2 linked regions of the Daphnia pulex genome follow. The protein of the gene in region 1 purifies or fractionates together with the protein of each later gene. This does not show direct contact. Links are inferred from orthologs where the notes say so. Each region holds a gene or a part of one and is shown on either strand. Other genes may lie near its edges.

What was found. The genes of interacting proteins can lie anywhere in the genome.
Region 2: the proteins of WD repeat-containing protein 19-like (region 1) and intraflagellar transport protein 122 homolog purify together in Homo sapiens (affinity purification with mass spectrometry; 4 studies listed by BioGRID and IntAct, counting the BioPlex papers as one, with this or other methods). This does not show direct contact. The link is inferred for Daphnia pulex from reciprocal best matches to the Homo sapiens genes WDR19 and IFT122.

Annotation. Positions count from the first base shown.
Region 1 is NC_060017.1:218,443-222,395, forward strand, and holds the start of WD repeat-containing protein 19-like, read right to left. Parts: upstream 2,813-3,953; 5' UTR 2,674-2,812; coding exon 2,653-2,673; intron 2,591-2,652; coding exon 2,436-2,590; intron 2,374-2,435; coding exon 1,938-2,373; intron 1,859-1,937; coding exon 1,572-1,858; intron 1,497-1,571; coding exon 1,378-1,496; intron 1,235-1,377; coding exon 1,134-1,234; intron 1,052-1,133; coding exon 954-1,051; intron 887-953; coding exon 745-886; intron 681-744; coding exon 546-680; intron 482-545; coding exon 332-481; intron 267-331; coding exon 119-266; intron 38-118; coding exon 1-37. UniProt on the Homo sapiens protein: As component of the IFT complex A (IFT-A), a complex required for retrograde ciliary transport and entry into cilia of G protein-coupled receptors (GPCRs), it is involved in cilia function and/or assembly.
Region 2 is NC_060023.1:2,443,498-2,447,013, forward strand, and holds part of intraflagellar transport protein 122 homolog, read right to left. Parts: coding exon 3,439-3,516; intron 3,372-3,438; coding exon 3,293-3,371; intron 3,216-3,292; coding exon 3,018-3,215; intron 2,951-3,017; coding exon 2,862-2,950; intron 2,789-2,861; coding exon 2,680-2,788; intron 2,613-2,679; coding exon 2,475-2,612; intron 2,393-2,474; coding exon 2,090-2,392; intron 2,031-2,089; coding exon 1,297-2,030; intron 1,229-1,296; coding exon 951-1,228; intron 888-950; coding exon 743-887; intron 661-742; coding exon 561-660; intron 484-560; coding exon 409-483; intron 348-408; coding exon 44-347; intron 1-43. UniProt on the Homo sapiens protein: As a component of the IFT complex A (IFT-A), a complex required for retrograde ciliary transport and entry into cilia of G protein-coupled receptors (GPCRs), it is required in ciliogenesis and ciliary protein trafficking.

The sequences.
Region 1 (3,953 bases):
GCTAGAGGTGAAGAACAAAGTCGTATGATGCAACTCCCTTTAGAGTGAACAAAGTGCATGGGTGTAAGAATAGCAACGCATCAATTTTTAAAAATTATATCTTTTTTTAAAAACAAACCAGTAAGTCTCTCGGCGTGATAGACAAAGACGTCAAGCTTCTCGTCACTCCAAGCCACAAACACGTGACTAATCCGACTTGCCGACTCCCAAAGTAAGCCACGATGATGAACTGGGAAATCGGGAATCCTTAACAAAATTTCCTTGACCTAAGTGATAAAAACAAGTGTAAGTAGACAAGTAGATGAGGCGGTTTTTGTCATTTTCCCGATACCGGAGAGTAAAGGTAGCCGTGATTTTTTATATCCACAGCGGCTAGAAGTGTTCCTGATGTATCATGATAGATCTTTTTCCAACCAACTGCATGGCGATATTCACTGACAGGTTTCCGCTCACTCAGCGAAAAGTACACCAAATCGCCCACCTTATATTTCCGTTGCAATTGTGGTGAGATAATAAATAAAGTGACCACTTTTAGATTATCTTACGCTTGTAACGTAGACGAGACAATCCTTAGCCAACGCATGACTCCCGATCTTGGCTGTAGAGGATTCACGCAAGGGAAATACACCGCTATCCATCAGACCATTTCCTCCGTCACTCGAAAAAGAAGCTTCTTCTATCTAATAATGGATTAAAAACTAGTTATAAAATAATTTGAAATGGAATTTAATGGGGAAAACTCACAAGCTGCAAATGAACTTTGCCATCTACCAAGGCCGCAACGTGTGTTTCATTTAAACAAATCGATTCGACCGAGCCCGCATACTGCAACTTCCGTTGTAAATGACCATTGACCGCAGAGTAAAGCCAGACGTGATTGTTCAAACTATATCATGATCAATAGTTTTCTAATTAGTATTATAACTATGATTTATTAGATAATATAAGTTTACCCAAGTACAATGGCTTTCGGACCACAGGCCAAAAATACAGGCTCCAACTCACACTGCACATTGCAGATGGTATTAAGTGCAACGTCGTACACAGTCACCTGAATTGAGAAATACGGCAGTCACACGCAAAATGTAGTGTAACAGTGAGTTATAACAGACTATTCATATTTTAGATCCTACCTCTTTAAGACTGGTGAGTACAGCAATAGTGCCGAAAGGCTGCCAAACCGATGCTAGCATATTCAGACGAGTAAGGTAGATGTAGACGTTACCGGAACTACCTATGGAAATTTAATTAACCAAAGGGTTGTTAGGTAGGGTAGGTAGGTTAAATTGAATACTGTTACATGTTGCCATGTAATATAAACATGCACTATCACAGTATTACATAGCAGCAGAAAGATTGAAGAAGCTAATATAGTACCTGTGATGGCCAGAAGACGACCGTCATTACTCCACGCACAGCAATCAATTCGATTCTCTTCTTCAACAGAAATGACTGACACAGTTTCTTTTAAATCAAGTAAATCGTAAATTCTGGCACTGTTTCAACAAGAAAAATCAGCAAACAAATTATTTGAGGTCTTTGAATTAATGCTACGTATATGTTATTATTACTTGTTATCACCAGAACAAGCAGCCCGATTTAGTGACGGACAGATAGATATAGATGAGACCATGTCTCGATGGTTCCGTATCTGAAAGAGTTCTTGTCCTATCTCCTTCAAATGGGTGGAAATTGCGATGCAGTATCCTCCGGAAAAACCGATCAGAATATATCCGTCACCAAACCATCGATATGTTGTGATGTTACCATAATTTTGCTGAAAAGCTAATTCTAACGGGTTTTCTGCGTTATTAATGTTGATTAGAATTAACGTGCGACGACCCACCACAGCACTGATCTATACAATGGCAAAAAAAAAAAAAATAATAATATGAAGCGGGTTTCTTCTTGTTCAGAAATTAGATCGCATTCAATACCGTGCTCTCTGCTGTTGAACGTTCATCTTCTTTCATTTCAGAAAACTGGATTTGAGAGGGCTCATTTCTTAGGCTAGCTGTGTGGACAGTGTCACCTTCCAAGGTACTAACTGATAGAGTTTTATCTTCAGATCCCAGAGCCAGGAGATTGTCTGAACTCCATGCTCCTGTTACAATTCGCTTGCTATGTTTTCCTAGAACTGGAATTTTCCGTCCAGCCCTTTGATTGTATAAAAGAACATTTCCCTTTGATGTACCAATTGCTAGGAAAAGACCACTTTTGCCCCAAGCCATGAAACTGAGTGGATCTCTCAAACCAGTTTCAATCTTCTCAGTTTTAAGGCTAGTTGAGTTCCACATGTAAAGAAAGGAGCTGCTATCATTAATAGCTGCAAAGAAGTCACCCTCACAATCCCAGCCAAATCCTGTGCAGGACCTGTCAACAATAAAAGTATTTGTGAGCAATAAAATCAAACCATGTGGTTCCAGTAGCTATACCCAGGCATTGTGATCACAGATTTTTGGTTTCCAAAGTGGTCATATATATGTACGGTGCGGTTTGAGCCAGTAGCTGCCCAGAGAGTACCATCGTGTGTTTGCCATTCTAATTTTACGGTTCCAACGCCGACAGGGGCCTTCAAACTCAATATCAACTGATAGATAAGGGAAGAAATTAATTTCACGAACAAGACATAAACTTTACGGGCCTGAATACCTTTTCGGTGTTAAGGTGCATGATTATTTGTCGTTTAATTATCCATCTGTATATGTTTTTTTGAAAGTACTCTCGTTACCAAGCAATCACTTTGTAAACAAACGTTTTCTCACTTGTTTACATGGCCGCCGTTAGAGGTCCCTGGCAGCACCCTAAGAGAAAAATTTTCTAAAAAGCATTTTGCCATTTTGGTTGTTGTGAATGGAAAATAACGATTTTTCTAGATGAGATTAATTTTTAATTTATTGAAAAAACTGCATAAAAATAAACTATGATTGTAACAGAATATTAAAAAGTTTCAAATTTAGAAATTTTGTTGAAAGTAAGCAGACCGAAGCAGACAACTAAAAAATAATCGAGCAGTCTATCGATACGGAAGCAGACAAGTAGTTGTTGTGTTGACCCATCATTCCATCAACCAACAACATCAACTACGTTCTCATCGTTCAGACATATTTGAAAAATAGTGGTTTTATCTACTGCGAATCTCCTCCTGCCAACTTCTTTACAAGGACAACGGAATCTCCAAGTAAGAATTCGTCAAACATTCAATGTTTTATCGTGTGCCAATCGGTTTTCGACGTATTCGATATAAAATAGTCTAAAGAATCGAAAGTCTAGAGACAAAGTGTCAGCTACAGAAAGACTTAAAATCCTTCACAGTAAAACATAGACTAAATGCTATTCAAAAGAATTATTTGTTGTTTGTGTTATGGAGTCATGATCAGTAGTATTCGAGTTATCTTGTTCAACCTTATTGTTTTGTTATGGTTGTTGTAGACTTGTAACGAGGAATCTAGTGGTTTTGATTGCATTCCTAATATCGTCTGGCTCAAATAGATTTTCATGAAATTAAGGAATTATTATTTGTCCCTAAAAGTTTAGAAAAACATTCATTGTTACTTTGTTAGGTATGTAGTTACCTGTGCAGATGAAAGATATTAAAACTTGTCATTGAAATCGACTTTCCAGATTTCCATCTTTAAATCTAGAAGAAGGTTATCAACTGTGTTATTTGCAACAGCTATGTTGTAAGTCTTAGGCTATTTGCCAAAGAGAAGTTTCAGAGTCTTCCTCCATTTTTTCTTACTTACAGTTTTTTAAAGGAAAATATTTAGTTGGAATTAATTTTGGAGTGTTTTAGGCATTTAACAAACTACAAAAAAAAAAAACATTTTCATCCTCGTGGTTCTATTAATATTATTTCGTCATTATCCCACATAAGCAAGCCTAGCCGTACTTTCCATGAATTCTTTGTTTTACATGTTTCTACTGGGATGCCACGTCGAAGTTGAATGTGA
Region 2 (3,516 bases), on another chromosome or scaffold:
TCAAGTTTGGGTTTCCAAGAAAAACGCTAAAGTAGAATTTTACCGAAAGAAATGAAAGAAAAGATGAAATTTTCGCCACAATGAATGCAGCAGTTTCCACGCGGATTATAAAGCGGATTGCTCATGGAGCATCGGTAACAAAGAGGAAGAAGGTCCTCTGCGTCTTGGTACGGTTGGGCGCGGATACTTAACACCGCCAAGTCGACACTCTCCTGAAACTGAACAGGTATCTTCAGATTCTGCAGCAACGTCACAGCATGCTTCGCCGTCTTGTATGCGCCTAACGTCTTGGCGTGTTTCATCAACGAATAAACCACTGCAAATTGACTGATGCCAGTTAATGGACCCTATAATCACAAAAAACGTAATCATTCATTCTACGGTTCAGATTTTCTATGAATCAATTACGTGGAGTGTTTCGTGAAGAAGATAACGCGCCATGTTAAATAACGCTTCCGGCAAGCTGGAAGTGAAAGGCTCATTCTAAAAAAAAATAATTAAAAAAAGACTTGAAAACTTCACTTTTTGTTCCGTACTAATTTAGAAGCAAAGATAATTACCGTGAAGCGATGGATTGCTTGATAAGCATAATATGCCGAACTCTTGCGTTCTAAAGCGTGAAACTGAGTAACGTGCTTCAGTGCTTCGTTTGACACTTCCCTGTTCATTAAGGTTGATTATCATTATTGTTTTTTTCATTCAGACAGTTTTTGTAGAAATGGAAATAAGACAAATAACTAACGCTTTAGCGGCCAACTGGAGCCGATGTTTGGCGAAGAGCCAGAAGAAATGTGAGGCGTCTTCGTATTTGTTTAACGCCACGGCGTTCATCGCTAGTGTGTTGAGAACTCGCTCCGCTTCCTCCAAACACCCCGCTTCGTAATAAGCTGAAAAAGCAAAAATTGTAAGACAAACCTCTTCATTTTTCTTTGAAACTCAAAATGTTTCACCTTGTTGAGCTTCGATAAATTGCTCCTGTTCGGCCAGCCAACGAGCATAAGGTAGGTAAACATTTCGACTGATATCAGGATGCTGCTTGGCGAGTGCCAGAGCTTCAGTCCAAGCGCCACACTCAACCAAAGCGGCAGCCAGAGCAGTCGTATCACCAAGACGCCGTAGGATGTCACAAGCCAGCTGGACTGATCCCAATCGACGAAGATGGTCTGCAATGATGCGTAACGTTGACGCTTGGTCCGTTGCGTCCAGTCTTCGAGACGCGTCTACAAGCCTGTACAACATTTAGAACATTTTTTAGTCCTGGATAATTTCAAAACTGATTTTTACTAATCGACTCACATGGATGTCCATCCGTTGGCAGCGATAATCTCAACAGCTTTGAGAATTTCACCAGCATTCAGGTACATTTCTGCAGCGGCTCGCGGGTCGTGAATATCTTGCGCCCAATCCGCCCGTTTTTTCAGGATGTTCATCCGTTCGGTCGTACTGTCTCCGCTGAGATACTCCTGGGCTTGATCGAAAAGGCGCAAATCGGTGAAGAGAGCCACCGCCTTGTCGCTACGGCCGCACTTGCGGTACAAGCGAGCCGCCTCGTTGAACTTTCCCTGCCACGCAAGGATGTCGCCGATAAAGACATTGTGGTTGATATTGGCCTGTGGTCCTCCCAGCCGCTTCTGATTGGCGATAGATTCCATCAGCTCCAGGTATTTGTAGTCCTGGATACGTTGGAACGCTTGTGTGGCAATGTCCAGTTCCAGCGCATTGACCGACTCGTGTGCCAGCTGTGACCAGTCGGCCTCCGTCACGCCCATACAAGCCACTTCGTAAGCTTCGCGGTAGAGCTTACGGTCAAGATACTGGTACATTGGTGCTGATAGAGGCACCTGAAGGGTGGTCATGCTGTATCCCTGCAAGCAAAATATTTTGGCGCCGTAGAATCCCACGACGTAGCCTTGAAACTTTTGCTGGTGACAGGGAAAATTCGATGCTTTGATGTTCAACCAGTTCTGACCCGAAAAGCAAAGCATATCTTCGCAATGAATGTTCCAAGCGACGCTATTAGCATGTGGCTCCTACATTCACAATTTAGGTTATTATTCTGTTGTAATCTGGGAAAAAGTTTTGGAACTACCTGAGAAATCAATTCACTGTTGCTCAATTGATAGACGGAGCAGGTATTGTTGTCATCTACAATGGCCACCTTTTGGCGTGAAGAGCTCAAGTCCAGGCAGCGGATAGGGACACTGATCTTGAGCAACTCCACCGGGAAAGGGTTATCTAAAAATATTTTGGACACCTGGCCATTCTTCAAGCCTAGCAGGAGACCCTCTTTGTTGGCCGGTCCGCCGACGATTTTTATGTAGCGCACGGGTGAATCTAACGTCCACTCGCGTTCCTTGACGCCCTGAAAGTTCACCGACTGCAGTTTCTTTTCCTGAACGAAACAAAACAAAATACCAGACAGATGTGATACGTTAGATAAAAATTTTGCAAAGAAAATCATATAAAAGATTTACGTGACACAGAATGATGTGGTTGGTACAAATGACCATAAGGCTGCATTCGAAATTCTGGCTGATTTTTTCCTTGATGACATAGTGCAGCTGTTCGCCTTCCTGTTGCTCGTAAATCATGAGTTTTTCTTGCAGCTGGACCTAGAAGAATCCAACAATAACAAGACATCATCATCCGGTCACATATTCCTGCCATTGCACGACATACCGCTAAGCGATTTTTGTAGATGGCGATTTTCTTGATAAGGTCACGGCAACAGATGCGCACTTTTTCCTCCGTCAGTAAGTGGTGGACTACCACGTCTGTCAGATGTTCTCTATTTTTCGAAATAACAAAGTAAAACGGCATTGTAAATTAAGCCCATTCACACGATCCTTATTTAGCAATACCTGAATGCGTAGCGTTCTTTATAGAGACCGTGAACGGTGCTAAATATCAGCTGGTGACAACCGACTGTTCCGTCTTCACTGCCAACGGCCTACAAGCAACGGATAAGAATTTTAACGTTTAAAAATTTTAATATGTCAAAATTTTGAATGGCTTACCACAACTGTGCTGTTTTGTTTGGTTGCCGTCGCCCAGACCCACTTGCTACACTCAGCTATGGGACCAAGAGCATATCCTTCGCTACTAAAGAGCTGACACTGTCGGTTGGATCCACAGACAAGCAGATAGTCACCACCAGCGTGACGATAAGGAACTATTCGGCAAGCGTTGAAACCCAAAGGTTTCTCCGAACGGATCTAGTAAATTCATACAATAACATTAAATTTTTAGAGGAAAGCACTTGTTGAAACAATGATATCTGATATACTCATACTTGTTTTCCGTTGGGGAGGTGGAAGGATAACGTTCTGTTACCCCAATCCGTGACACAAAGCATTTCTGCTTGGTCAGTCCTACCAAAAGAGATTGTTTTTAAATGACGAGAGGGAATTAAATTAGCATTATATAAATAATATGTACCTGTTGATGTTCCAGCACAAGGCCCATACTGGTGACTGATTGCCTCCTGGTCTTTCAATTTTAGATTTTTCATCTCCA